Callithrix jacchus: one gene and its partners. The protein of the gene in region 1 interacts with the protein of each later gene in a biochemical or structural test. Links are inferred from orthologs where the notes say so. Each region holds a gene or a part of one and is shown in the gene's direction. Other genes may lie near its edges.

Region 1 (3,500 bases):
GTGGGAAGGGCTGGCAAGCAGCTCCAGGAGGCATGAGCTGCAGTTTCTGTGTGCAGGGGGAGCTCCAGCTTTTCTTAGAAAAGAGGGAACAATAAGAAAGTTCATAAGGAGCTGTCCAGTTGAAGAGTGAGGATGTTCCAGGACAGAGATGTTGCTTTATCAAAGGCAGAGAGCCTGGGGAATCCGTGTGTTCTAAGTGGGGACAGGCTGGTGTGTGGGGGGAGGCTGCGATGGAGAATGAAGCTGCTGAAGAAGACAAGGGCAAGCTTATGAGGGCCATGCTTTGTTTTGTCATGCAGACTGGAGTGCAGTGGCACGATCTCAGCTCCCTGCAACCTCCGCCTCCTGTGTTCAAGTGGTTCTCCTGCCTTAGCTTCCCAAGTAGCTGGGATTACAGGTGCCCACCAACACACCCAGCTAATTTTTGTATAACGTTTTCTTCCTTTTTTGAGACAAAGTCTTGCTCCATCTCCCAGGTGGAATGCAGCTGCACAATCTCAGTTCACTGCAACCTCCACCTCCTGGGTTCAAGTGATTCTCCTGTCTCGGCCTCCCAAATAGCTAGGACTATAGGCTCATGCCACCACACCCAGCTAATTTTTGTATTTTTAGTGGAGATGGGGTTTTACCATGTTGGCCAGGATGGTCTCAAACTCCTGCCCTCAAGAAGTCTGCCTGCCCTGGCCTCCCAAATTGCTGGGATTATAGGCATGAGCCACAGCGCCCAGCCCATGTTTGTTTTCAAAGCACACAGGACATGGCAGGATCTGTCTTTTCCTTTGATATTAAAGGAACTCGAGTGTGGGGATGTGATCACATCTGGGATTTGGGGAAGTCCCTCTCCAGGCAGCTGGAGAATCTGAGCCCCTGGCCAACCTCAACACTGAGAAGGGCTGCTCTCAGGGTTGGAGTTGAGCCGTCCCTGTGCAGCACAGGACAGGATGGGGCAGGAGCTGGGGCAGGTCCTGGCCAGGAGGGAGCCAGGCAGCGCAGGCACCATTTCCTGCTGCATTTGTGGTCCAGGGCAAAAGCACAGGAGACCAATGCTGGGCCTTTCCCCAGGCACAGTCAGCAGGAGGACGGCTTGGGCACTTGCATGGCTCCTTGATGTGTGGGCCTTGAGGTTTTGCTGGAGGGGAGGATGTGGAGCCAGGAGAGTTCCATGGCCTGAGGGAAACGTGAGAGGATGAAGGACTGCAGGCCACAGTGAGTGCCAGGGGCGGGGGAGGGAGGTCACATGGGTGGGGTGAGGACCATGCGGGGCAGAGATCAGCAGATGGGTGACCTGAAGGTTGGCGGGTGGTCATGGGCTATGAGCTGAGGAGGCTCAGGTAGCTGGAGCGGGAGCCGCTGCTTGATCCTTCAAGCTGGGAGGGGCAGTGGCTACAGCCCCCTGGGAGTCAGGGTGTCCTGGCTTCTTCTCAGCCAGATCATATAGGATGAGAGCCACAGGAACTCCCATAGCCTTTTTGTGTGTGTCTGTCTTCTACCTGGAAAAGAGTAAAAATACTTCCCCGTTCTTTTCTTGTAAAAGTTCATTAAGGGGTTGGGCACCATGGATCACGAATCCCAGAACTTTGGGAGGCTGAGGCTAGTGGGTCACCTGAGGTCAGGAGTTTGAGACCAACCTGGCAAATATGGTGAAAAACCATCTCTACTGAAAATACGAAAGAGGCTGAGGCAGGAGAATTGCTTGAACTCAGGAGGCGGGGGTCGCAGTGAGCCAAGATCATGCCACTGCACTCCAGCCTGGGTGACAGAGTGAGACTCTCAATAAATAAATAAATAAAGGAATAAAGCTGATTTTTTTAAAAAAGAAAAAACCCTGTAAATAAATGTAGGCACTCCGGTCTCCTAAATTTAGAATCCTTTCTTCAAACATCCCCCTTTTGATACAGAAACATTTTTGAAGCCAGATGCAAAGCACCAGCCGACCCTCGGGTAGGGGAGCTGACTGGTGGGCTCTAGGGATAGCTCTGGCGTCTGGCAGCCAGTTGTCTCCTGAGAAAATACTGTGGCGTGAATGCAAAGTGTGATTCATTACTTGGCTCCTAATTTCTTTTGATTTTGTCCCCTAGAGCAAGGTCCGTGGTCCCGTCAGTGGAAGCCCTGATAGCATGAATGCCTCTCGACTTAGCCAGCCTGGGCAGCTGATGTCTCAGCCTTCCACGACCTCTGACAGCTTACCCGAGACAGCCAAGAAGAGGTAGGTCCTCCTTAGGAGTGCTAAGCATGACCATCAGGGGCACGTCAGGAGATTGGGGGTGGAAGCATTCATCACTGGTGAATGTCTGTCCGATGATTTTACCACTTCTCTGGGTGTTTGTTGCATCTGCTAGGTCCTGTGGGGACAAAAGTGATACAAGTTTTGCTCACACTTGTAATCCCAGCACTTTGGGAGGCTGAGGCAGGAGGTTCACAGGAGTTCGAGGCAAGCCTGGGCAATGTAGTGAGACCCTGTCTCTCTATTTTTTTTTTTTGAGACGGAGTCTCGCTCTGTCACCCAGGCTAGAGTGCAGTGCAATTTTGGTCACTGCAACCTTCGCCTCCTGGGTTTAAGCAATTCTCCTGCCTCAGCCTCCTGAGTAGCTGGGACTACAGGTTTGTGCCACCACACCCGGCTGATTTTTTTGTTTTTTGTTTTGGTTGTTTTTTGAGACAGTCTTGCTCTGTCGCGAGGTTGGAGTGCAGTGGCACAGTCTCGGATCACTGCAACCTCTGCCTCCTGGGTTCAAGCGATTCTTCTACCTCAGCCTCCTCAGTAGCTGGGACCACAGAGGCATGCCACCACGCCTGGCTAATATTTGTATTTTTTTAGTAGAGATGGGGTTTCACCATGTTGGCCAGGATGGTCTCAATCTCTTGACCCTGTGATCCTCTGCCTCCCAAAGTGCTGGGATTACAGGCATGAGCCAGTGCGCCCAGCAGATTTTTTTGTATTTTTAGTAGAGACAGGGTTTCACCATGTTAGCCAGAATGGTCTTGATCTCCTGACCTCGTGATCCACCCGCCTCAGACTCCCAAAGTGCTGGGATTACAGGCGTGAGCCACTGCGCCCAGCCTTTTTTTTTTTAAATAAAAATTATTTCCCCAACATCTTATGAGCTCCTGGAGGATAGCAGCTAGGCCAGGAGCCTCTTCTATTGCCCTCTGGGCCGGCACTGAGCCTTTAGCCTAGCTAGAGGCCCCGAGGCTTGGCAAAAATGGCTCCTGCCATCAGATTGTCGCATTTTGCAGAGTGAGAGGAGTTCTGGGGCACTGTCTTCCCTTATGTGGCTTATTCCCTTCAGTGATATCCTCAAAACTCTAGAAAGGTGGACCTAGGTATACAGGATGTCTCTCATCTCCCCACAGCGTAGCTGAGATTAGAAAAAGATGGATGTTTTATTACATGCTGTTCTTTCTCACTGTGGCCTAGTCCTAAGAGGAAACATGCATTTTTTTTATTATAGAAAAGAGGAGAGATAGATTAAAGGAAATCAAATCCCAGAACTTGCTTT
Region 2 (4,022 bases), on another chromosome or scaffold:
TGAGCCCAAACCCCTTTCTACCTGGGTGGCATGAATGAGTCCAACTGCTACCGTCCCCCCGGACAATGGAGCAAGGAGGGGCGGGCAGGACCAGACTGCCTTCAGCCTCCCGCAGGATGCCTGGCAACTAGTTTCTTAGTGGTCCTTACGGTCCAAGCGCGGTTTAAGGTACTAACTAAACTCATTCTTCAGTCTCCTTCTCCAAGTGTTCCTGGAGAATTGCTCAGTTTGCACCCAGAAGTAGGCTCAGGATCCATTCTCTGCAGCAGCACAATGTAGGTCAGAGAGCATGAACAAAATCGCTACTTAGGAACACAATAGTTATTTTGTTATTGCAAAGTATCCACAACCACTACTACAAAGATTAGCACCTAGCTTTACTTAGGGGGAAGAAAATCCTGGTCCTATTTAGCAGTTTCCCCCGTACAGGGAGAGTTCACCCCTCCCCCAGTCAACAGAGCTCTTCTTCCATAGGAACTTATTTGAGAGTTCTCCAAGGATTTAGGTTTTCACTCCAAAGCTTTCACAACTTCTATCTGGCGGGGTGTGCGGGGGTGGGGGTGGGGGTGGGGGTGGGGGTGGGGGTGGGGGTGGGGGTGGGGGTGGGGGTGGGGGTGGAGAAGCTAAGCGTCCCGGTGCTGCAAAGAGCCTGGTATTGGTAGAAACACGTCGGCGGCCTGCAGCCTTCTAATCACAGTGCGTCCTTCCCCTTAGAGAGAAGTCTGCGGAAAGCAAATCCCTACACCCAGCCATCATTTCCACTCTTGCGTTTTCAAAAGATCAAAAAACGGAAAAGACCGGCAGGTTGGCAAACCCCAAAGAAGGACTGCCCATCAGGTCGGCGTCCTTGGGATCTCAGCAGCCGACGACCCCAATTCAAAGCGATCGTGGGAAACCCCAGGGAAAAATGGTTAACTTGCAGAGGGACAGGATTACAGGGTGCAGGCTGCAGGGAAGTACCGGGGGCAGGGGGCCTGGTAGGAAGGACTTTCCAGCCACTCGGCGCTCATCAAAAAGTTCCCTGTCCGTGACCCCAGTGCCTCATCGCAGGGAGTTTCTCCGATGAACCCCAGCTCAGGGTTTAGGCTTCTTTTTCCCCCTAGCAGAGGACGAAGCCAGTTCTCTTTTCTGGTCTGACTGGCTTGGAAATTCCCCGCGCCTGACCCCGCCCCAGAGAAATCCCCAGCCAGCGTTTATAAGGGCGTTGGGGCGGCGCTGCAGAGCCCACAGCAGCCCGCGCCGCCGTACCGTTCGCCAGCGCTCCAGCGAGGAAGCAGCGCGCAGCCCGCGGCCCAGCGCACCCGCAGCAGCACCCACAGCTCGCCCGAGCAATGTTCCAGGCAGCCGAGTGGGCCATGGAGGGCCTCCGCGATGGGCTGAAGAAGGAGCGGCTGCTGGACGACCGCCACGACAGCGGCCTGGACTCTATGAAGGACGAGGAGTACGAGCAGATGGTCAAGGAGCTGCGGGAGATCCGCCTAGAGCCGCAGGAGGCGCAGCACGGCGCCGAGCCCTGGAAGCAGCAGCTCACCGAGGACGGGGACTCGTAAGTGGCGCGGGCCAGGGGTCGTTGGGAGGACCGGACGCGCGCAGGCGGGGCTTGGGGGGTGCTGGGCCTGCAGCCCGAGCCCGGGGACCAGCGCTGCAGCCGGGCCAGCACCGCGGCGCCCCGGGGCTCCTGCACGGCGCCGAACGCTGCAGGGCCGCAGGGCCGCGCGGGACTCCGGCTGGACTAGGAGGGGCAGAGGCTCGGCTCTGGTGGACCGCAGCGTCGCCACACGCCCCCTCCCCCCCATCCGTCCTCTAGGCCGGGGGCGGGGCGGCGGTGGGGACGCGAAGTCCCCGGTTGCATAAGGCGGGGCGGGAGTTTCTGGCCGCTGGCGGGCGCCTTGCAGCCGGGAGGGGAAGTACAGGGCGTTCCGAGCCGGCGGGAGGGCGGGGCGGTCTGGCCGGCGCCCGCCGAGGCCTGAAGGAGGGGGGCGGAAAGTCCCTGGGCGCCTGCCAGGAACACTCAGCTCATAATAACCTCGCGGAAAACACCGCGGCCTCGGCCTCCAGAAACCCCGGCCTTGCGCAATCCCCCGCAGCCCGCGCCTCCCTGGGCCCCACGCGGTGCACTCACCACCCCTGGGGGTTTTTCCCTCTTCCCCACAGGTTCCTGCACTTGGCCATCATCCATGAAGAAAAGGCACTTACCATGGAAGTAATCCGCCAGGTGAAGGGAGACGTGGCCTTCCTCAACTTCCAGAACAACCTGCAGCAGGTGCGCACGTGCCTGGCCCGGGCTTTCTTTGACCCTGGGACAGAGCTGATGTAGCAGAGTCACCCCAGATCCTTTCTGAATTAAGGGCCACTGGGCATTATTCACCCCTGCCGTTTACTTCGCATCAGCCCCCATCCTAGAGAGGGAAGGAAATTCTATGGATTTGGTGAGGTCTTTATGACCCACCTGGAGCCTCTGCTATTTGCCAGCCCTCCCCACCCTCCCACCTGGGAGGAGCAGCACCCAACCAGGAGACATTGGGGATCCGGGGAACTCGGGGTGTGGGTTTGATTCATGGCTTACTCTCTCTGGTTTCTCTTGCACTGGTAGACTCCACTACACTTGGCTGTGATCACCAACCAGCCAGAAATTGCTGAGGCACTTCTGGGAGCTGGCTGTGATCCTGAGCTCCGAGACTTTCGAGGAAATACCCCCCTACACCTTGCCTGTGAGCAGGGCTGCCTGGCCAGCGTGGGAGTCCTGACTCAGGCCTGCACCACCCCACACCTCCACTCCATCCTGAAAGCTACCAACTACAATGGTATGTCTGCCTTCCTGCCCTGCCCCACCCCCTCAGAGGGCAGGTGACATGCAGAAAGGGCACGTGGGCCAACTTAGGGAGTCCAGGAAAGAGCTTAAACTCCCAACCTGTGAAAGATCGAGAAAAGATGTGTGCAATATGCCTATTGGATACATTTTAAAAGTCCCTTCAGAACCCAGACTGGGGTTCTTAAAATTCAGAAGACATGACTGTTTGTCCCATAAAAGAATAGGTGAAAGGTGCTGCTTTAGGAGGGTTGAAACAAATGGTTATGCTTTTTTCCTTTTGTTCTTCCAGGCCACACGTGTCTGCACTTAGCTTCTATCCATGGCTACCTGGGCATCGTGGAGCTTTTGGTATCCTTGGGTGCTGATGTCAATGCTCAGGTGAGTGCTTCCTGCCTCCCATGTTCTGAGTCAAGCTCCTCGTGCTTGTGTTGCAAGCAGAAATTCCAAACGCAGCCATAGGCATCTCAAATTCCTTTTGGTTTCAGGAGCCCTGTAATGGCCGGACTGCCCTTCACCTCGCAGTGGACCTGCAGAATCCTGACTTGGTGTCGCTCCTGCTGAAGTGTGGGGCTGATGTCAACAGAGTTACCTACCAGGGCTACTCCCCTTACCAGCTTACCTGGGGTCGCCCAAGCACCCGGATACAGCAGCAGCTGGGCCAGCTGACACTAGAAAACCTTCAGATGCTGCCAGAGAGTGAGGATGAGGAGAGCTATGACACAGAGTCAGAATTCACGGAGGATGAGGTGAGTCTGAACTGCTTCAGTATTCTGTGAAATTAATGGCGGGGGGGCTTTCCCTTCACCCTCCCAGTCCCCTAGAGCTGCTCTTCATTAGAGGAATGTCCATGTAATGAATCTCTCAAATTTCTGTGTATAACCAGTATCCCAAGAATGTGCCTTTTTTTTTTTTTAATAGCGCACTGTTTTTTTTAAAAGAGAAGCATTAAAGGCAAACTCCCTCAACCTGTAAAGTTCACTATATTTGGGCTACGGAGAATGGAGTCCAAGTGTTATTTCCAGTAGCAGCTTCCCCATCCCAATAGCTTGGCAGAGCTCCAGAAGTTTAACGTTCTTTTTTTCCCTTTGTTTTCAGCTCCCCTATGATGACTGTGTGTTTGCAGGCCAGCGTCTGACATTATGAGCACAAAGGGTCTGAAAGAACGTGGACTTGTATATTTGTACAAAAAGAGAGTTTTATTTTTCTTAAA
Region 3 (3,500 bases), on another chromosome or scaffold:
CTTTCTGCTGACTCACGACCCTGAGGAGCTGGGGAAGCTGCTAGTTCCCTCTCCCCCTCCTTAGATCTCCCTCCCTCTGGCCTGAGTCACTGGGGCGGAGTTGCTGGGAAAAGATTTCCCTTTCCCGGATCTGACTTAACCCCCAGAGTACTGGAATGAAAAAGGAACACGTGACCTGAGAAAGCCTCTCTCCCTCTCTTCCTCCCTCCAGGGAGGTTCATCCCCCACTCGCCAGAGGTCCCTGTAAAGCTTCCTTCAAGGCTGTCTGGGACTGGCGTCCCCCAGTTCTTCATCCTGACTCTGTCTCTGCCTGTTGACTCTGCCTCAAGCGGCCGGGATGGGATCCAAAATGCCAGTGACCTTAGATGCCCCAATGTCTTCTTCGGGGAAAGGAACCACACTTTCAGGATTGGGAAGTTCTTCCCATCACCACCCCAAGCCCTTCCTGTTGCCCTGGATGCCCCAGTCCTATTTCAGGGGAGGTGGCACGGTGTTGGCTGGTGTGGGCTGGGAAAGGTTGCTGTCCTCTGAGAGGGGGCGCACACCTCCGCCCGCCAGGGCTGGGGCTCCGCTGTGTTTGTTCTGTTTGGCTTCACATGTTTGCGGCTGAGGCTTGGGCTTCCGGGCCTGTGCAGCTGCAGCTGCAGCTGCAGCGTCTCCCAGTGGCTGACTCAGGGTGCGACTGGCCTCCTACTCAGAAATGTGGAGCTGGAGAGGCTGGGCAGCTGCGGGTTGCCTGGCCCTTCTTCCCTGGCCTGGGGTTTCTGTGACCTGGTGAGTCTGTTGCTCCCCAGTGTTTAACAGACGTTGAGGACACCCTCTTATCTTTACATAAAGTGACTCTTATAGCAGAGAAAAAAAGTGGAAGCCCAGGGAAAACCAGAAATGAAACTGGCAGAGATCAAAGTCCCAGGCTGGAGCTAAATATTCACTCCTGGCTTTGCTTTCCTGGCTCTGATGCCAGAACAGGGCAAGCCGTTTAGCTGCTGCGGGATTGGCCTGAGGCTGTAAAGCATACCTTCCAGAATGCCATGGCGTGCAGGGGCCTCCGGGACCCCCCAGCACGCCCTCAGCTCTGACCTGACCCTCATCCAAGCTGGGTCACCAGCCTTCGCCAGCAATATTTGCCTGTGACCTGTACACCTTTGCCCACTCCTGTCCCCATCTCAACTCGTCTCCCATCCACCCATCCAGGGCCCACAACCTTTCCCTTTGACTCCCCTCCCCATTTGTCCTTGCCAACCCTGGGTGTTTGTGTAGATTATGAGGTGGAGGGGATGGGCCAGGGAATGTGAGGGCAGGAGGCCAAATAAGGTTTGATACAAACGGGTAAATAAACTTCCTTCTGCTTCTGCCCACTCCCCAGGAGTGGTGCTCACAGGAACACTGCTCGCCCCCACCAGCAGCCGACTTTTCAGAAAGCTTTTCATGGTGTGACATGCTCCCGGGATGTGCACAGATCCTCACTGATTACCCCTGTGAATGTTCACAAAGTGATCCCACTGTGAACCCAGCACCCAGATGGAGAAACACTGCCCCAGTCTTCAGGGCTGCTTGTTGGAAGAAAGGGCCAACAAGCCCTGAAGTAACCTGCCAATTCCCAATCAAAAACACAACCTTCAACATCTGCCCGGTGTCCAGCACTGTTAGAGGCTGTCGGGGATTTCACAGTGAGGATAAAATGCAGTGCTGTAATCCTAGCACTGCGGGAGGCCAAGGTGGGAGGATCACTTGAGCCCAGGATTTTGAGACCAGGATTTTTTGAACGGGTTTAGCTGTTGGAGACTTGTTGAACTGGTAGAAGGAGTTGACACTACTAAAAAAAAAAAAAAAAAAAATTAGCTGGGCATGGTTGTGCACGCCTGTAGTCCCAGCTACTCAGGAGGCTAAGGTGGGAGGACCGCTTGAGCGTGGGTGGTGGAGGCTGCAGTGATTGCATCACTGCACTCCAGCCTGAGCAACAGAACAAGATCCTGTCTCAAAAAAAAAAAAAAAAAAAAAAATACAGCTTAGCTCTGGGGCCTACTAGCTTCGAATTGAGGGAACACAAATGAGCACACAGGACAACTAGAGAAAAATGAAGCTTCAGATTATATGGCCCCAACTGTCTAAGTTTCCAGGAAGAACTCTCAGCTTTGTGAGGGGGTGGCCTGGGGGGAATGTTTCATGGAGGAAGGACTTGAGCTGGGGACGTTTTAGATCCGTTGCCCGTAAGCTTCCCTCCCTCCCTCTCCTGATGGTGTCTCCTCTATCTGATTCTTCCCCAGGTGCTCCTGGTGCTGTTGGTGGGAATATACCCCTCAGGGGTTATTGGACTGGTCCCTCACCTCGGGGACAAGGAGAAGAGAGACAGTGCGTGTCCCCAAGGAAAATATATCCACCCTCAAAATAATTCTGTTTGCTGTACCAAGTGCCACAAAGGTAGGAGAAAGTGGAAACGGTGAACGTCCTCAGGTCTGGGGCGCTGCTGCTTCTGCTTCTCTCAGCTGTTCTTCCCTAACTTTGCTTCCTCTCCTGGGCTGGGATTTTCTCCCTCCCTCCTCTCCTAGAGACTTCAGGGTGGAGCGATGAGAACTACAGCGGGTGGTGCTGGAAGGAACTTGAGAGAGTGAGTTCCCAGCAGGAAGGGTTCTGCTGTTGTCCCTTGCATGGCTCCTTCCCTGAGCTCTCACCCGCAGCCTAACTCTGCTGCCTCGTTCACAGGAACCTACTTGTACAACGACTGTCCAGGCCCAGGGCAGGACACGGACTGCAGGGAGTGCGAGAGCGGCTCTTTCACCGCTTCAGAGAACCACCTCAGACACTGCCTCAGCTGCTCCAAATGCCGAGAGGGTAAGTGTGCACAGGCTGGAGAGTCAGGCGGGTCTTCAGCGGCGTGTGCCTGCGTGAGGGCAGGTGGGTGTGGGCACCCGCCTGCGTGAGGGCAGGTGGGTGTGGGCACGTGTGTCAGTGGGACACTGCATGGGTGTGACTGTGTGTTAAGAGACAGACACACACGTAGCGGCGTGTCAGGAAGGGGCTGCAGGACTCATACCCCATCTCCTCCCGACACCAGAAGTGGGCCAGGTGGAGATCTCTCCCTGCACCGTGGACCGGGACACGGAGTGTGGCTGTGGGAAGAACCAGTACCGGCATTATTTTAATGAAAACTTTTTCCAATGTGTCAACTGCAGCCTCTGCCTCAATGGCACCATACATATCCCTTGTGAGTGCAGCTCTCCCGATCCCAAGCCCTGTCCCCACCCCAGGGGCTGACCCCTTCCCCATGCCGCGGGCACTTCCTTTTCTTCCCCTCCCTAGTCTGTGGGTCTGACAACCAACTCCTCTGGGCCAGCCGCCCCACCCTGTCCCTCATCACTTCCTCTGTCCTGTGGGGTGGGGGTGCAAGGCGCTCCTCCTTAGCTGTGCGGCACTTCTCCCCACAGGCCAGGAGAAACAGAACACCGTGTGCAACTGTCATGCAGGGTTCTTTCTATGTGAAAACAAGTGTGTCTCCTGTA
Region 4 (4,110 bases), on another chromosome or scaffold:
TTAGTGAGGGGCAGAGAGGCTGGGGAGGAAGATTTAGGAGGACAGGGAGAAGTAGGGGCTTTTGCCCAGGCTGGTCTTGAACTCCTGGGCTCAATCGATCCAACCACCTTGGCCTCCCAAAGTACTGGGATTACAGGCATGAGCCATTGTGTCTGGCCCTGACTTTCTTTGTCTTTTACTTTTTAGAGAAAGGGCCTGGCTCATGTCACCCAGGCTGGAGTGCAATGGTGCGATCATAGCTCACTGCAGCCTCAAACTCCTGGGCTCAAGCGATCCTCCTTCCTCCTGCCTAGGGGATTCAGGGCATGAAGGAACACTCAGGAGGAGTTAGGAAGGACGCAGCAGTGTGAGTGTGTGTGCGGGAGGGTTAGGTTTACAAGGCAGAGGGAAGTTTAGAAAGGAAGGGAGAAGGGAGGGGACGCTTCGGCTGGGAGGCAGGTCTGGGAGGGAGGTGCAGTGGTGCAGTGGAGGCGGTAGGTTTGGGAGAGGCGCGGATACGAAGGGAAGCCATAGGAGGGGACAACAGGGGTCCCTCAGCATCCTCCGGTTGCCTCTAACAATTAGGTACCCTTAGCAACAGGGACCGCGGCAACTTAGGTTCTTTGCAGCGAGGGTCCTCAGCAACCAAGATACGAAAAACACGCCATTATTGGCAACTTGGCAAGCGGATGTGATAAACCAACCCCGAACAACCTGCGACCCAGAAACCCACCAGCCTAGCGATACAGATCGCTTAGCAACAACCCTCAGAATCCCACTATCCGAAGCGCTCCCTACTTCCCGCCCCGCAGCGGCCGCCCTCGGGCCCCGGGGCCTGCAGCCTTCAGCTAGGCCCCGGCGCGGCCCGACCCTCCCACCCGGGTCCCCGACTCACGGTCTGGCTCTGCCATGGGCACGGTGCTGAAGCCCTCGTGGCTGTCACCGATCGCTCTGTCCCGTCACCAACCACTGTGTCCCGTCACCGACTGCTCTGTCCTGTCACCGACTGCTCTGTCCCGTGACGGCACCAGAAATGGGAGTGGCCGGGATAGGGCTTAGAACTACAACTCCCAGTAGCCATTGCGGCAGAAGCCGCGCTTTCGTACGACAGCCAGAGCGCCCCAGACTTAGGTAAGAAAGCGCGCTAGGGCCGGACTTCGAGTCCCAGAAGGCGCGGCGTCAGCAGCCATGTTGGTAAAGGGCGCCCGGAAAATGTAAAAACGGCTAGTGAGTCGTAGTCCTCCCAAATACTCTGATTGGTCACGATATGGTACCAGGGTAGGGCGCGAGCGATTCAGCATATTATCATTGGATGAATTAGGGGGCGTGGTGGGGAATTTCCCGCAGGGCGGAAGCGCCAGAACTGCCGGCAAAGCCCAGCTCCAGGCAAGCGACTGCGGGGGGCCCCTGAGGTGGCGGGGGCCATGGCTGGGGTCGCGTGCTTGGGAAAAGCTGCCGACGCAGATGAATGGTGCGACAGCGGCCTGGGCTCCCTGGGTCCGGACGCAGCGGCCCCCGGAGGACCGGGCTTGGTCGCAGAGCTGGGCCCGGGGCTGTCGTGGGCGCCCCTTGTCTTCGGCTACGTCACTGAGGATGGGGACACGTGAGTGAACCTTAGGTTGCCAAACGGAGCCCTAGGACCCGGCGTCTGATTCCCCATTAGTTTCTGATCCCTGAGGCTTCCTAACCTCCTACTCCTAAATCTGATTTCCGATGCTGAACTTCCTGACCTGTAACCCCTGAGTCCTAACTTTTAACAAAACCAATCTTCTATCCAGCTGTGATGCTAACCCAATCATTTCAGACCTTCCTTTCTTGAACTATGATTCTCAGCTCCTGGAATCCACATTCTGTCCACGGATACCCAAACCCGACTCCAGTCCTGAGGCTTTTGTTAGAACTGTGGCTTCTCCTGACTTCGAACCTCCAAATATAATCTTTGATTCTTAGTTCCTGATGTGAGCCTTAGACTGATTTCCGAAATTAATACTTGGTCCCTGACTCTAAGATCTTGTTTTCTGAGCAGTGTTCTTCAAGTCTTAAAAGAGTGAGAATGTAAGTTCTCCTATGTTGAATTCCTAATTGAAGTAGAAAAATAGAAAAAGAAAAAAGAATGTAAGCTCCATGAAACCAAGGATTCATCTGTTGAACAAATATTCTTTACATATTACCACATTCCAGGCTTCGTTTTAGGTGCTAGTGATAAAGGCAGTGAAGAAAACAGACAAAAAACTAAAGCCCTTGTGAAGGAGACGTTTTATTTTAGTGGGGCTAAACAGATTGATAAGACAGCAAGGAAGGAAAGAAACAGAAAGACAGAAAGAAACAAAGACATGCAGAAAGAAAGACACAGAAAGTAAGAGAAGGAAAGAAAGTCACAGGTTGTCAGTACTTTGGAGAAAAATAAAGCAGGAAAATGAGGCAATAGATAAACAAGATAAGAGCATTTCAGGCAGAAGGAACTGCAATTGCAAAGGCCCAGATGAGGGACTGTACTGGGTTTTTTTGTCTGTTGTGTTTACTGCCCTATGCCCAGTGATGCAGGCAGTGCCTGTCCCAGGAAGCAGTTAATAAATACTGATCTTACCAAAGAACCAGCTTTAGGTTTATTAATTTTTGTTAATTAATTTGGTTTCATTAATTTTATTTTAGTTTTCAATTGGTCTTTGATTCTTAGCTCACTCCAAAGTGTGAGCTACTGCGCCTGGCCAACAACTCTGTCCTGTGACTCTTGCAAGCCTGGTCTCTACAGACTCTTCCTCCATGTCCATCTCCTGACCTCAGACAACCTGATGGGCTCTGCTTGGGGTCCCCTCTCTCAACCGTGGCTCTCAAGACCATAAGCTGTGGCAGTCAAGTGTAGGGCCCACCTCATGTTTCCTGTCTTTCGGGGGCCACTGTGATTCATTGCATGACGTCCAGCGTCTTCAACACTGTTGCTTCATATACCGTATTGCGTCTGATTTTTCTTTGTTTCTTGTGGGAGGGAAGTCTGGTCCATGTTACTTCATTTTGGGCAGAAGTGGAAATCCCACTGAATAAACATTGTTGGTTCCACAAATTTGCTGATGAAACTCTGACCTCTCTGACCCTCCCAGATAGCTGACAGTGGGTTCCAGAACTGTGGTCCCAAAGCCTAGCATACAGTAGCCACCCCATGTTTGTTGAATGAAGGAATGCAAGAGGACTTGAATTTTGCCCTCTGACCCCAGTCTTTGTCCCCAGGGCACTGCATTTGGCTGTGATTCATCAGCACGAACCCTTCCTGGATTTTCTTCTAGGCTTCTCAGCCGGCACTGAGTACATGGACCTGCAGAATGACCTAGGCCAGGTGAGCCACGAGGGGATGGAGTAGGGGTTGGGGTCTGGGGTTCCCAGTGTGACTCCCTACTGCCTGTCCTCTGCTTCTGCAGACGGCCCTGCACCTGGCAGCCATCCTGGGGGAGGCATCCACGGTGGAGAAGCTGTATGCAGCAGGCGCTGGGCTGTGCGTGGCAGAGCGTGGGGGCCACACGGCGCTACACCTGGCCTGCCGTGTGGGGGCACTTGCCTGTGCCCGTGCCCTGCTTCAGCCCCGCCCTCGGCGGCCCAGGGAAGCCCCGGACACCTACCTCGCTCATGGCCCAGACCACAATCCCGACACCAACCATACCCCTGTCACCTTGTACCCCGATTCTGACTTGGAGAAGGAAGAAGAGGAGAGTGAGGAGGAGTGGAAGCTACAGCTGGAGGCTGAAAACTATGAGGGTGAGGGTCGCCACCAGGGAAGGACTGAGCTCCCAGGCTAGGTGAGAGCACCTGGCCCTGGGCTCTCTTCCCTGATTCCAGACCGAACTCCTTGGGAAATCACGCCTAGGCTTCAGGAACCCAGGCATCGGGACCAGGGACCTCCACTCAGGGCCCAGATGATTGACAATTGGATATGTAAGACCCAGGATTCCCACTTGGAGGCCCCAGATCACTTGGGACGCAGACCTGGCACTCATAGACCCAGAGCTGCCAGGATCCAGTTGCTGGGCCCTTGGGCTCCCCACCTGCAGGGTGTATTCAAGCTGGTATCCCTACCCCACCTAGGACCAGGGAATGCAGAGCTCAGGCCCTCTGGGAAACTCTGGCACCCCAGGTTCCCAG
Region 5 (3,500 bases), on another chromosome or scaffold:
AGGGGAGATTGGTGAGATAATTTTTAAAAAGTGTATCTAAGTATGTGAAAAGTTTTCCACAAATGGGAATGTAGGATCTTCAGGAGATGGGCGGTGTGAGCAAAGAAATGCAGTAAGTGTGGTATCTGTGATAATGGGAGAAGTGCACAGAATTAGAAACAGTTTCAATCTGGAAGGTATACATGAAGGGAAGGAGATGAAAGAAGACCTGGGCAGGCATTACAGAAAGGCTAGCATCACAGTAGGGTTTGGAAGGACTTTATCTGGTAGGGGAGAATGTTTTGAAAAATAGTAAGCAGAGTGTGTTATCAGAACAAATAAAATAATATTTGCATATCAAAATGATTTGGCCTGCTGTGTTTACTTGCTTTCAGTAACTAATCAGATTATTTTTGAGGTTCCTTCTATATAAATCCTATAGTAATTATTATAAATAATTATGACATATAAATAATGTTAAGCGTTTATGTTTTTGTAAGATTTTGTTTGTGTAATTTTTCAGGGGCAGAAGAGTGTAGAAGAAATAGAGAACCTTTAATATGTCCCCTTTGTAGATCTAAGTGGAGATCTCATGATTTCTACAGGTAATAATTTTGAAATAATGATATGTCGGTTTAATTTTTAAAAAATTCTCAAAGTGTGGTTCAAGTCTGTTAATTTTTTTAAAGCAAATTTTGTTATATTTCATTTTAGCCATGAGTTGTCAAGTCCTGTGGATTCCCCTTCTTCCCTCAGAGCTGCACAGCAGCAAACTATACAGCAGCAGCCTTTGGCTGGATCACAGAGAAGGAATCAAGAGAGCAATTTTAACCTTACTCATTATGGAACTCAGCAAATCCCTCCTGCTTACAAAGATTTAGCTGAGCCATGGATTCAGGTAAGTAGTTATTTTTCATTTCTCAAAGAAATATTTGTAGATCAATTAATGTGTTTGTCCCTTTCCCTCAGTTGTTTATAATTTAAGAAGATACTTTTGTTTGCTCTATCATGACCCCTATTCTGTTGGAAATTTTAATGTTATTTTTAGTATTAATACTATGCTGCTTATTGTAGAGCTTCAACTTCAAAACGTCTTTATGGTTCCACTTCACTTATCTAGAAACATCTCTTCCTGAACTAACAGACATACAGGGTTATTCAAGGATAGAAGAATGGAAACCAGAACCCTTCAATTCTAACTTTTCCCAATGTTTAATCCCCATTCCTGCCAAGAATTTGTATATTTATTTGCTACCATTTAAAATCAGTTACTCCTTTCCATATCATAATGTTATAAATAATTGCTGAGCAGATGAATAAGAAAAAAAGTGGTGTTTACCTTGATTTCATCATTTTTATTTGTGAGAACAGTTTCCATTCCTTTACCATCTCTTTTGACTGGTCCTCAGTAAGTAGGGCTTTTTTGTCAGTTGGTTTGTAATGATATTCTTGGTTATGGAATGCTTAGTCTATTATTTTTTAAATGTAGGATCTAAAACCAGACAGGTCTCCAGTAGACAATAGTGAAGTAAAATAATTATTTTCAATAATCTGTTAAATTCCATTGAATACTATTAAATTTATGAACAGATGCATTAACACATTGAGCTTATATATCGTTAGATTTGTTTCCTTTCTCTTTTGTGACCATTACAGTCCTGCATCTTTGGAATTCTCTTAGCATATTAGCAACCCATTTATGAATCTTAATAAAATCTGCAAAAATATTAAACACATATTCTTGTATCTAGTTCACTAATGAAATTTAGTGAACTGTTAATAGGCCCTCACCTGCCCATTCATGACCCATCAAAGAACTCTCAAGTTGATTCTGAGCTATTAGATGCCTTTCTTTCAAGGATATGGTCTAGTTTGTTTCGCTTAAGCTTTAGATTGGACTAGGCTCTATATTCCTAGCTTTTTATTAAGCATATTAGGAAAGACAGATTTAAAACACAGGTAGTGGTACACTACTTAACAGTACCAGAAACTCACTGTATTCTAGTTGGTTCATTCTCCCATAATATCCCTTTATAACAAAACACATGTAAATAAGTATGTCATGATCTGTTTTTCCAAAAATTGCGTTTATTCATTTTTAATATTTAGACATTTTTCACATGATGAATTATCTTATGTATTAAGCTTACTTTTAGCTTTGGCTCATAATGTCAAGACCATTCACCCTTTCTTACTATAGGGATTCTGTGGCTTTTAGGGCATGGTATTGACAACTATAACAGTATATACCATAATTCGAGGTCTACCATTATACTTTGCTTACTCCAACACAAGCATTTTTTTCTTCAGTTGTTTGATTTGTTCACTTCATTCATTACAGTCCTACCTGTTTTGTCTAACTTTTTAAACCTTTTTGTACAGACAAAAACCGATTAAATGCTTTTTGCTTATTACTGTTGTCTGTAAAGGAAATACTCTGTATCTCTTGAAACCTTCTCCTTGTACCTTTCTTGTTTTTTTTTTTTCTTAATCTTGCTCCAGTTTTTCTCTTTAAATACTTTAATATGAATATAAAGTTGAGATTTTCACAGTTTTGGGGGTTTTTGATAAACATGGGGGATGATACAGGCATAGAATGTATGTATAACCATCCAGTGACTTGATGGAATTTTTTATTAATTTTACCTGAACTAATAAGTATTAAAGACTTTGGATAATTACCAGTTAAACTTGAGTATAAAATTCTTCCTTTATGATGTTTAAGTGGCTGGACATATTTGAAATTGTGTAGTATGGTAAATATTTAAGAAATGTCCAGTTTTTATATAGTAATCCAAAATGATGCTTAACTCGAAACTGCATGCATAAACTTTTCTTTACATTGAATTCACTGCGTGTGTTTGATACAGGTGTTTGGAATGGAACTCGTTGGCTGCTTATTTTCTAGAAACTGGAATGTGAGAGAGATGGCCCTCAGGCGTCTTTCCCATGATGTCAGTGGGGCCCTGCTGTTGGCAAATGGGGAGAGCACTGGAAACTCTGGGGGCAGCAGTGGAAGCAGCCCGAGTGGGGGAGCCACCAGTGGGTCTTCCCAGACCAGTATCTCAGGAGATGTGGTGGAGGCGTGCTGCAACGTTCTGTCAATGGTCTGTGCCGACCCTGTCTACAAAGTGTACGTTGCTGCTTTAGTAAGTAGCTTTACTGTATAATCATATCATTATGGGTTTGGGGTTTTTTGATGGTTAGTAGATAGTGTTTTTAAGATACAGTAAAACTACTTTACCTACTTTGGGGAAATCCAGATTTTATTTTTATTCCATAATCCCAGGAAATTACAGTTTTTCTTCTATTCTGTTTATTTGAATGTTGCTGATTTCATTATATTCAGGGTTTCCAGTTTTTCTTTTTTAGTTTTAATGTTTTAAAAACTTTGAAGGGGTATCCGAGGGAGAGAATACAGTCATGGTTTCTTAGTTTCTGTTTCTGGTCGGACCAGTAAACCTCCTTCCTCATCCTTCTTTTCCGCTTATCACTAGAAACAGAAACTAAAAGCCATGACT
Region 6 (3,500 bases), on another chromosome or scaffold:
AGGAAAGGCCAGGTCTCCTGGAAAGCCCCGCTGGGGCCTGTAGGCCCTTCACCACCTTCTACCTAGAGGCGGCCCCACCCCCAGTAATAAGCATCATGCTCTTGAGCCTGCTGGGCCAGTCCTGGGGCAGGCAGCCATGGCAGGGTGAGGCCTGATCTGGTCCTTTCTGCTTCTACTCATGATGCCTCATGATGACTAGTAATGGTGGTTTCCCTTGGAGACAGAAACTCCGAGGAGGGCTGGGTAGGGCCAGGAGTCCTCTCAACACCTTCCCTCAACCCAGGAAGCTTCTTGAGTTGGAACCTGGAGAGCTAGACTGCCGTGCAGGCATTTCTCCACACGTGCACATCCTGCCCGCGTCTCCCACTTTCTCCTGGTTGTTTTTTTAGGAGAGATGAGAGAATAAAAACTAAAATGCAGTGAGTGACATATTAATTTTTTTTTGGAGGCGGAGTCTCACTCTGGAGTGCAGTGGCGTGGTCTCGGCTCACTGCAACCTCTGCCTCCCGGGTTCAAGCAATTCTCCTGCCTCAGCCTCCCAAGTAGCTGGGATTACAGGCATGTGCCACCACACTCAGCTAATCTTTTGTAATTTTAGTAGAGACAGGGTTTCACCATGTTAGCCAGGATGGTCTCGATCTCCTGACCTCATGATCTGCATGCCTCAGCCTCCCAAAGTGCTGGGATTACAGGTGTGAGCCATGATGCACAGCCATAATAATTTTTTTAAAAAACATACACATACATAATCCACACTTATATGTACATACAAATATAAATACATAATAGCTGGTATTTATCGAGCCGTTTTCCTATGCGCCAGCCACTGTGTTGAGCATTTTCTGTAGATCATCTTACTTCACTTTAAAGGAAGTGAGTTAGGCTCCCTACGATCCCCATGCTATAGGCATGGCTATTTCAGAGCAGGTGGCTGGGGCCATGGTCTGCTCTTGACCACTAAGCTGGGAAGCAGGGGAAACAGTGCAGGAAGGAGGCATTGGTGGGGAGGGGACTGCCAGACAGGGTTGTCTGCAAAGGAGGGGAAGGAGTGCGCTAGAAGGGATCTCTGAGACAGCACTCCCCTAAGTGCTGAATTCCTGTTCTTTCTCCTCTCTGCTAATGGAACTCCTTTTCCTTTAGGCGAGAATAGCCAAGAGTTCAGCCCCACATTTTCAGAACGCATTTTCATCGCTGGGTCCAAACAGTACAGGTAAGGAAGCGGGAGAGCAGCCTGAGTGGGAAGGCGGGGTCCCAGCGTCCTTGTCCCCAGGGCTTGCCTGGGCCAATCCTGCTGACCCTGGGCTCCCCCCCTCAGCACCTGTGCTTCAGCTCCTGGAACTCGCCCAGGCTTTCCTGGCTGAGCCGCTCTCTCAGCCAAATAAGCTTTTCAAAGGCTTTTCACAGCTTGTGGCTGACTGCCTCTGGGCCACATCAACTTGACATTTTATTTTTGTTCTCCTCAGAGTCCTTAATGCACCCCCTCGTTTCCCATCAACAGGGAGGGTGCTGGGAACTGGAGCTGCTTCCCCCTCCTGCGTGGCTGTCAGTGCAGGGCAGGGGGCCCTTCCACTGTCCTCTATGGGAGAAACCTGCTGGCACCTCTTCTCCTGGGAAATACACCGAGTAGGGATGCGGGTGGTGGAAAAGGAGGGGGCAGACCGACTTGGTGGCCTCATGGAAAGGAAGCCAGGGTGGCCTCATGGAAAGGAAGTCTTCCCAGGCTCCGCATTCCCCCACAGACGATTTTTTGGAGCACGAGTTTGAGTTAGAAACAGTTCCCTCCCCATCACCAGGCGGGTTTTTGTATCATTGGAGTTTGGAACCTGGTAGTGATAAGACTGTGGGGAGGGCAGCTGCCTTGGAACAAGGAATGCTCAGCGTTTGGTGGGATTCCTTCCGCTGTCCTGGGTGCCTTTTGGCCCAGGGTAGGAGCCTCTGAAAGACACACTTCTTTCAGCTGTCTGAGAGAAGCCTGTAGGCCTCCACTGGTCCCTGGCACTGCTGTGAGTCTGCCTCTGTGGGGGCAGAAGATGAGGCCAAGGGAGGTGGCTGAAGCCATGGTCTGCTCCACAGCTGTTCTGTAGCAATCCTTCTGTTGCCAGGCCCTTTAATACCTGGCAGGGATCCCAGTCCAGTTAGAGCCATGGTAGTGATGAGCCCCAAGGCCAGCAGAGAAGAGTAGCCTCCCCGGTACCAGGCAGCAGCCCAGGCTGTCACCTCCCACAGCAGCCAGGGACCCCCAGGAACTAAGAGAATGGAGGTGACCAGCCTCACCTGTTCCTCCGTCCGGAGGCAACAGAAACAAGCTGTCTCAGTCCAAGCTGAGAGTGCCTGCCATGAGCGTGGCCCCCTTTTGGGAACTCCCCAGGGGCAGCTCACCTTGGAGAGCAGTGAGCAAGCCATATCTGCTCCTCTACTCTCCCCAAGAAGTGCGGAGCCTGCGCCCCATCACCATGGTAACTAGCACGGCTTCTTGGCAGCTTGCTTTGGGGGCAGACACTGAGCTAGGCTTTTTAAGTGAATTAAATTATTGAAGCCTCATCTCCACCCTGCATGGCAGAAAATACCAAACCCATTTTATAAGTGAGGTAAGTGAGAAAACTGAGGCTCCTTGGGGTTTAGAAACTTTGCCACGTTCACACAAGGAATGGCAAGCTGGGATTTGGCCTTGGGTCTTCAGGAGCCCAGACACAGCTATCTGTACCATTCTGTCTTCCTGCTTCCTCGTGCTCAACATGCAGATCTGTCCCTTTTTTGACAGCCAGTCTGAGAGTCTTGATCAGATCCCCAACAATGTGGCCCATGCTACAGAGGGCAAAACGGCCCATGTGTGTTGGAAGGGAAAGCGTCGCAGCAAAGCCCGGAAGAAACGGAAGAAGAAGAGCTCAAAGTCCCTGGCTCATGCAGGAGTGGCCTTGGCCAAACCCCTCCCCAGGACCCCTGAGCAGGAGAGCTGCACTGTCCCAGTGCAGGTGAGACCCTCCGCCGACTGCCCAGACCCTGGGCTCATGCAGCCTCAGAAATGGAGCTGTGCCTTGGGCCTGGCCCTGTGTGCTGACAGCTGTGTTTCCCCTGCAGGAGGATGAGTCTCCACTCGGTACCCCATATGTTAGAAACACCCCACAGTTCACCAAGCCTCTGAAGGAACCAGGCCTTGGCCAACTCTGTTTCAAGCAGCTTGGCGAGGGCCTACGGCCAGCTCTGCCTCGATCGGAACTCTACAAACTGATCAGCCCCCTGCAGTGTCTGAACCACGTGTGGAAACTGCACCACCCCCAGGACAGAGGCCCCGTGCCCCCAACCACACACCCCTTCCCCTATAGCAGACCACCCCATCCCTTCCCATTCCACCCTCTCCAGCCCTGGAAACCTCACACCCTAGAGTCCTTCCTGGGCAAACTGGCCTGTGTAGACAGCCAGCAACCCTTGCCTGGCCCACACCTGAGCAAACCGGCCTGTGTAGACAGCCAGAAGCCCCTGCCTGGCCCATACCTGAGCAA
Region 7 (3,990 bases), on another chromosome or scaffold:
GGAAAGTGTGGTACACATACACAATGGAGTACTGATTAGCCATAAAAAGGAGAACCTTTCATTTGCTACAACATGGATGAAAAATAGGGGTCATTATGTTAAATAAAATAAACCAAACACAGGCAAACAACCAATTGTACATTCTCACTAATAAGTGGAGCTAAAAATTAGAACAATTGAACTCATGAAGATAGCAGAATGATGGTTACCAAAAGCTGGGAAGGGTAGCCAGGAGTGTGTAGGGGGGTGATTAATGGGTTCAAAATACATGAGATAGAATGAATAAGATCTAGTATTTTATAGCATAACAGGGTGACTACAGACAATTTATCATACATTTTAAAATAATTAAAAAACATATAATTGGATTGTTTGTAACACAAAGAAGTGATAAATTCTTGAGGTGATGGATACCCCCACTTACCCTGATGTGATTATTACAGACCGTATGCTATACCTGTGCATCAAAATATCTCATGTAGCCCATAAATACATACATCTACCACAGACACAGAAAATTTAAAATTTAAAACAAAATTACTTGGGTAAATTTTATATTCTGTGTATTTAACGATTAAAAATTAATATAACCTGAGAATGTCCCTAGCTCGGTGATAAGAACATAGTTGGTTATCAGATGTCAATTCCCTTCTCACCACTCACTGGTGGGATACTTACCTCGGGGTCATGCGAAATAAATCACTCACCTGCAGATGTTAAAAAAATAATAGTCACATCAGTCACATGAAAAGAATTAGCTTCTGGAAGTAAGAAACAGATGACGGCACGTGAGGGAGAGCACCAGCCACTATTCTCTGCATCCAACCCTCCTTAAAAGCAGCTTCCAGACATGGGCAAAGCATCTAGGTGTGGGGTGATAACCAGTGTCAAAGAAAGCAGCCCGGACTCCCCCATCTTGCAGATATTTTACTAAATCAGATAATGAAGACATGGGAGGGGGTGCGCACCCAGGACCACAGGCTACTGGGCTTCCATTACTTCCCAGTCTCATAGAAGCCCCCTGGCTGTCCAGAGCCTCTGAAGCCCCCCGCCAGCCCAACTCTGACTTCTCTCCTCCCACCTCTCTTCCTTCTCAGCGGCATTTCTCCACACACCCTTTCAAGGCTCCGCTCCTCCCACGGCTCCTCCCTCTCTCCTCTCACGGCTCCTCCTCCCTCCCCTTTCCCGTCAGACTTGCCTCTGAGCGGAAACTGAAAGTGAAATAGGGAGCTGGCTACCCGCGTTGAGTCCCCTGTAAAGGTGAGTGAACCTCACTAAATCAAGGAACCCCTGCCCTCCTAGTGGACCTCTCCCCTGCCCCAGGGCTGCAGAGCCCCTTCCAACCAGTCTCCATCCTTGAGCCGGTCCCATTTGCCCCTTCTCCCACCGGGGATCCCTCAATCCAAGCCCCTCTGTGCTTCCGAGGCTGGTCTCCTAACCTGGAAGGAGGCTGGGGTATGGACATGACTGCTGCGGAGTTACCCAGAAGGGGTAGGGTTCCGGGCACTTGGGAGGAGACTGGGGTGTGGGACGTGACTGCGGAGTTACCCAGAAGGGGAAGGGTTCCGGCTGCCCCCTACTTGGGAGGAGGCTGGGGTGTGGACGTGACTATGGAGTTACCCAGAAAGAGAAGGGGCCTGGCTGCCCCATTGCTGGCACCTGAGCTGGGATGAGAGCTGGGTGCAGCTGAGAGAGCCAGCACTACTGCCTAGCCAGGAGCGTGGGGGAGATCTGCAATCCTGGAGACTCCCAGGTCCAAAAGTCCTCCAGAGGTGAGGGGCAGGCTGCTTAGGATGTTCAACCAGAAATGTATAGGCCTTCAAAATTACTCTTTGTCATAGAAGAAGTGATGTCAGGAACTAAACTAAGTTTGGAGCAGCTGAAAGAAGAGCCCAGGGAGTGCTGGCCACAGTTCCTGTTGCTCTGTGTGAATACATTCACATATACATGCTCATGTACATACATATACACCTGACTTTTGCCAATATTGGAATGATTAATGAAGATGTATTCAAAGCATGTGTAGTATCTCTGGCACATGGAAGGTACATGGTTAAAAGTAGCTATTTTATGACTAGTTTCTCAGCAACATGGAGGCCTGCTGGTACCAGAAAGAAGATGAATGGGCACTGAGGGTTTAAGCAGGAATGGACATGAGAGAACTGTCAGCTTTATGAGGTTCTTGCCAATTTTCACTCCCTCCTTTAGGGACTCAGTTTCTCCTTCTGTCCCAGTGGATCAATGGGCCAAACAGTGGAGGAGTTCTTGTTATTCAGAAGAATAAACTTATTAAACAAACTATTTGGTCCATGCAAAAGTAATACTGTTTTTGCCATTAATTATTTTTCCATTAATATTATGCCCTTTTTTTTTTTTTTTTGGAGATGGAGTCTCCCTCTGTTGCCTGTGCTGGAGTGCAGTGGCACCAACTCAGCTCACTGCAACCTCCACCTCCCAGGTTCAAGCAATTCTCCTGCCTCAGCCTCCTGAGTAGCTGGGATTACAGGCACCCACTACCACTCCCAACTATTTTTTGTATTTTTAGTAGAGACAGAGTTTCACCATGTTGGTCAGGCTGGTCTCAAACTCCTGACCTCAGGTGATCCACCCACCTCGACCTCCCAGAGTGCTGGGATTACAGGCGTGAGCCACCATTTTTATTTTTTTATTTTCCGTTTCATCATTTTGTTTTTCTTTTTTTAGTTTTAATTTTTCTGGGCATGTAGTAGGTATATTTATGGGCTACATGGAACATTTTGATACAGGTATACAGAGCCACCATTTTTATTTTTTTATTTTCCTTTGCATCATTTTGTTTTTCTTTCTCTAGTTTTAATTTTTCTGGGCACATAGTAGGTATATTTATAGGCTACATGGAATATTTTGATATAAGTATACAATGTGTAATAACCACATCAGGATAAATGGGGCATCTAGCACCTTAAGCATTGATCATCTGTGATAAACTATGCAATTATACTCTTTCAAATGTACAATTAAATTATTGACTATCGCCACCTGTTATGCTATCAAATACTAGATCTAATTCACTCCATTTTTGTACCCATTAACCATCCTACTTTTCCCCCAACACATCCTCCCTACTATTCTTCCCAGCCTCTGGTAACCATCTTTCTATTATCTAACTCCATGAGTTCAATTGTTTTGATTTTTAGCGCCTACAAATGAGAACATACAATGTTTGTCTTTCTGTGCCTGGCTTATTCCACTTAATGTAGTGACCTCCAGTTCCATTCATGTTGTTGTAAATGACAGGATCTCATATTTTATGGCTGAATAGTACTCCATTTTGTATATGTACCACATTTTATTTATCTATGTATCTGTTGATGGACACTTAGGTTGCCACCAAATCTTGGCTATTGTGAAACATACTGCAATAAACATGAGTGTGCAGATATCACTTTGATACAGTGATTTCCTTTCTTAGGGGTATATACCTAGCAGTGGGATTGCTGGATCATATGGTAACTCTATTTTCAGTTTTTTGAAGAACCTCCAAACTGTTCTCTGTAGTGATCGTACTAATTTACATTTCCACCAACAGCTTATGAGGGTTCCCTTTTCTCCACACCCTCACCAGCATTTGTTATAGCCTGTTGGATAAAAGACATTTTAACTGAGGTGAGATATCTCATTGTAGTTTTGATTTGCATTTTACTGATAATCAGTGATGTTGAGCAACTGTTCATATGCCTGTTTGTCATTTGTATGTCTTTTGAGAAATGTCTATTCAGATCTTTTGTCCATTTTTGAACCAGATTATTACATTTTTTTCCTATAGAGTTGTTTGAGCTCCTTACATATTCTGATTATTAATCCCTTGTCAAATGGATAGTTTGCAAATATTTACTCCCATTCTGTGGGTTGTCTCTTCACTTTGTGGATTATTTTCTTTGCTGTGCAGCAGGTTTTCAATTTGATGTGATCCTATTTGTCCAATTTTGCTTCGGTTGCCTATGCTTGTGG

What was found.
Region 2: of the proteins of IKBKB (region 1) and NFKBIA, one has a biochemical effect on the other in vitro, tested with the Homo sapiens proteins (58 studies listed by BioGRID and IntAct, with this or other methods). The link is inferred for Callithrix jacchus from reciprocal best matches to the Homo sapiens genes IKBKB and NFKBIA.
Region 3: of the proteins of IKBKB (region 1) and TNFRSF1A, one has a biochemical effect on the other in vitro, tested with the Homo sapiens proteins (2 studies listed by BioGRID, with this or other methods). The link is inferred for Callithrix jacchus from reciprocal best matches to the Homo sapiens genes IKBKB and TNFRSF1A.
Region 4: of the proteins of IKBKB (region 1) and NFKBIB, one has a biochemical effect on the other in vitro, tested with the Homo sapiens proteins (2 studies listed by BioGRID). The link is inferred for Callithrix jacchus from reciprocal best matches to the Homo sapiens genes IKBKB and NFKBIB.
Region 5: of the proteins of IKBKB (region 1) and MAP3K1, one has a biochemical effect on the other in vitro, tested with the Homo sapiens proteins (3 studies listed by BioGRID and IntAct). The link is inferred for Callithrix jacchus from reciprocal best matches to the Homo sapiens genes IKBKB and MAP3K1.
Region 6: of the proteins of IKBKB (region 1) and MAP3K14, one has a biochemical effect on the other in vitro, tested with the Homo sapiens proteins (3 studies listed by BioGRID and IntAct, with this or other methods). The link is inferred for Callithrix jacchus from reciprocal best matches to the Homo sapiens genes IKBKB and MAP3K14.
Region 7: of the proteins of IKBKB (region 1) and TRIM21, one has a biochemical effect on the other in vitro, tested with the Homo sapiens proteins (2 studies listed by BioGRID). The link is inferred for Callithrix jacchus from reciprocal best matches to the Homo sapiens genes IKBKB and TRIM21.

The regions. Positions count from the first base shown.
Region 1 is NC_133514.1:44,086,796-44,090,295, reverse strand, and holds part of IKBKB (inhibitor of nuclear factor kappa-B kinase subunit beta), read left to right. Parts: intron 1-1,062; exon of another isoform or gene 1,063-1,206; intron 1,207-2,078; coding exon 2,079-2,206; intron 2,207-3,500.
Region 2 is NC_133509.1:69,916,368-69,920,389, reverse strand, and holds the start of NFKBIA (NF-kappa-B inhibitor alpha), read left to right. Parts: upstream 1-1,222; 5' UTR 1,223-1,331; coding exon 1,332-1,546; intron 1,547-2,154; coding exon 2,155-2,263; intron 2,264-2,593; coding exon 2,594-2,804; intron 2,805-3,101; coding exon 3,102-3,190; intron 3,191-3,297; coding exon 3,298-3,558; intron 3,559-3,907; coding exon 3,908-3,955; 3' UTR 3,956-4,022. UniProt on the Homo sapiens protein: Inhibits the activity of dimeric NF-kappa-B/REL complexes by trapping REL (RELA/p65 and NFKB1/p50) dimers in the cytoplasm by masking their nuclear localization signals.
Region 3 is NC_133510.1:19,941,195-19,944,694, reverse strand, and holds part of TNFRSF1A (tumor necrosis factor receptor superfamily member 1A), read left to right. Parts: intron 1-2,267; coding exon 2,268-2,421; intron 2,422-2,703; coding exon 2,704-2,832; intron 2,833-3,055; coding exon 3,056-3,205; intron 3,206-3,425; coding exon 3,426-3,500.
Region 4 is NC_133523.1:34,461,083-34,465,192, forward strand, and holds the start of NFKBIB (NF-kappa-B inhibitor beta), read left to right. Parts: upstream 1-1,310; 5' UTR 1,311-1,403; coding exon 1,404-1,582; intron 1,583-3,204; coding exon 3,205-3,310; intron 3,311-3,392; coding exon 3,393-3,726; intron 3,727-4,110. Other genes in the region: SIRT2 (NAD-dependent protein deacetylase sirtuin-2), read right to left, coding at 875-890. UniProt on the Homo sapiens protein: Inhibits NF-kappa-B by complexing with and trapping it in the cytoplasm.
Region 5 is NC_133503.1:153,003,104-153,006,603, reverse strand, and holds part of MAP3K1 (mitogen-activated protein kinase kinase kinase 1), read left to right. Parts: intron 1-502; coding exon 503-584; intron 585-693; coding exon 694-877; intron 878-2,849; coding exon 2,850-3,128; intron 3,129-3,500. UniProt on the Homo sapiens protein: Component of a protein kinase signal transduction cascade. Activates the ERK and JNK kinase pathways by phosphorylation of MAP2K1 and MAP2K4. May phosphorylate the MAPK8/JNK1 kinase.
Region 6 is NC_133506.1:85,675,890-85,679,389, reverse strand, and holds part of MAP3K14 (mitogen-activated protein kinase kinase kinase 14), read left to right. Parts: intron 1-1,140; coding exon 1,141-1,210; intron 1,211-2,761; coding exon 2,762-2,972; intron 2,973-3,078; coding exon 3,079-3,500.
Region 7 is NC_133511.1:69,716,676-69,720,665, reverse strand, and holds the start of TRIM21 (E3 ubiquitin-protein ligase TRIM21), read left to right. Parts: upstream 1-1,190; 5' UTR 1,191-1,260; intron 1,261-3,568; 5' UTR 3,569-3,645; intron 3,646-3,990. UniProt on the Homo sapiens protein: E3 ubiquitin-protein ligase whose activity is dependent on E2 enzymes, UBE2D1, UBE2D2, UBE2E1 and UBE2E2.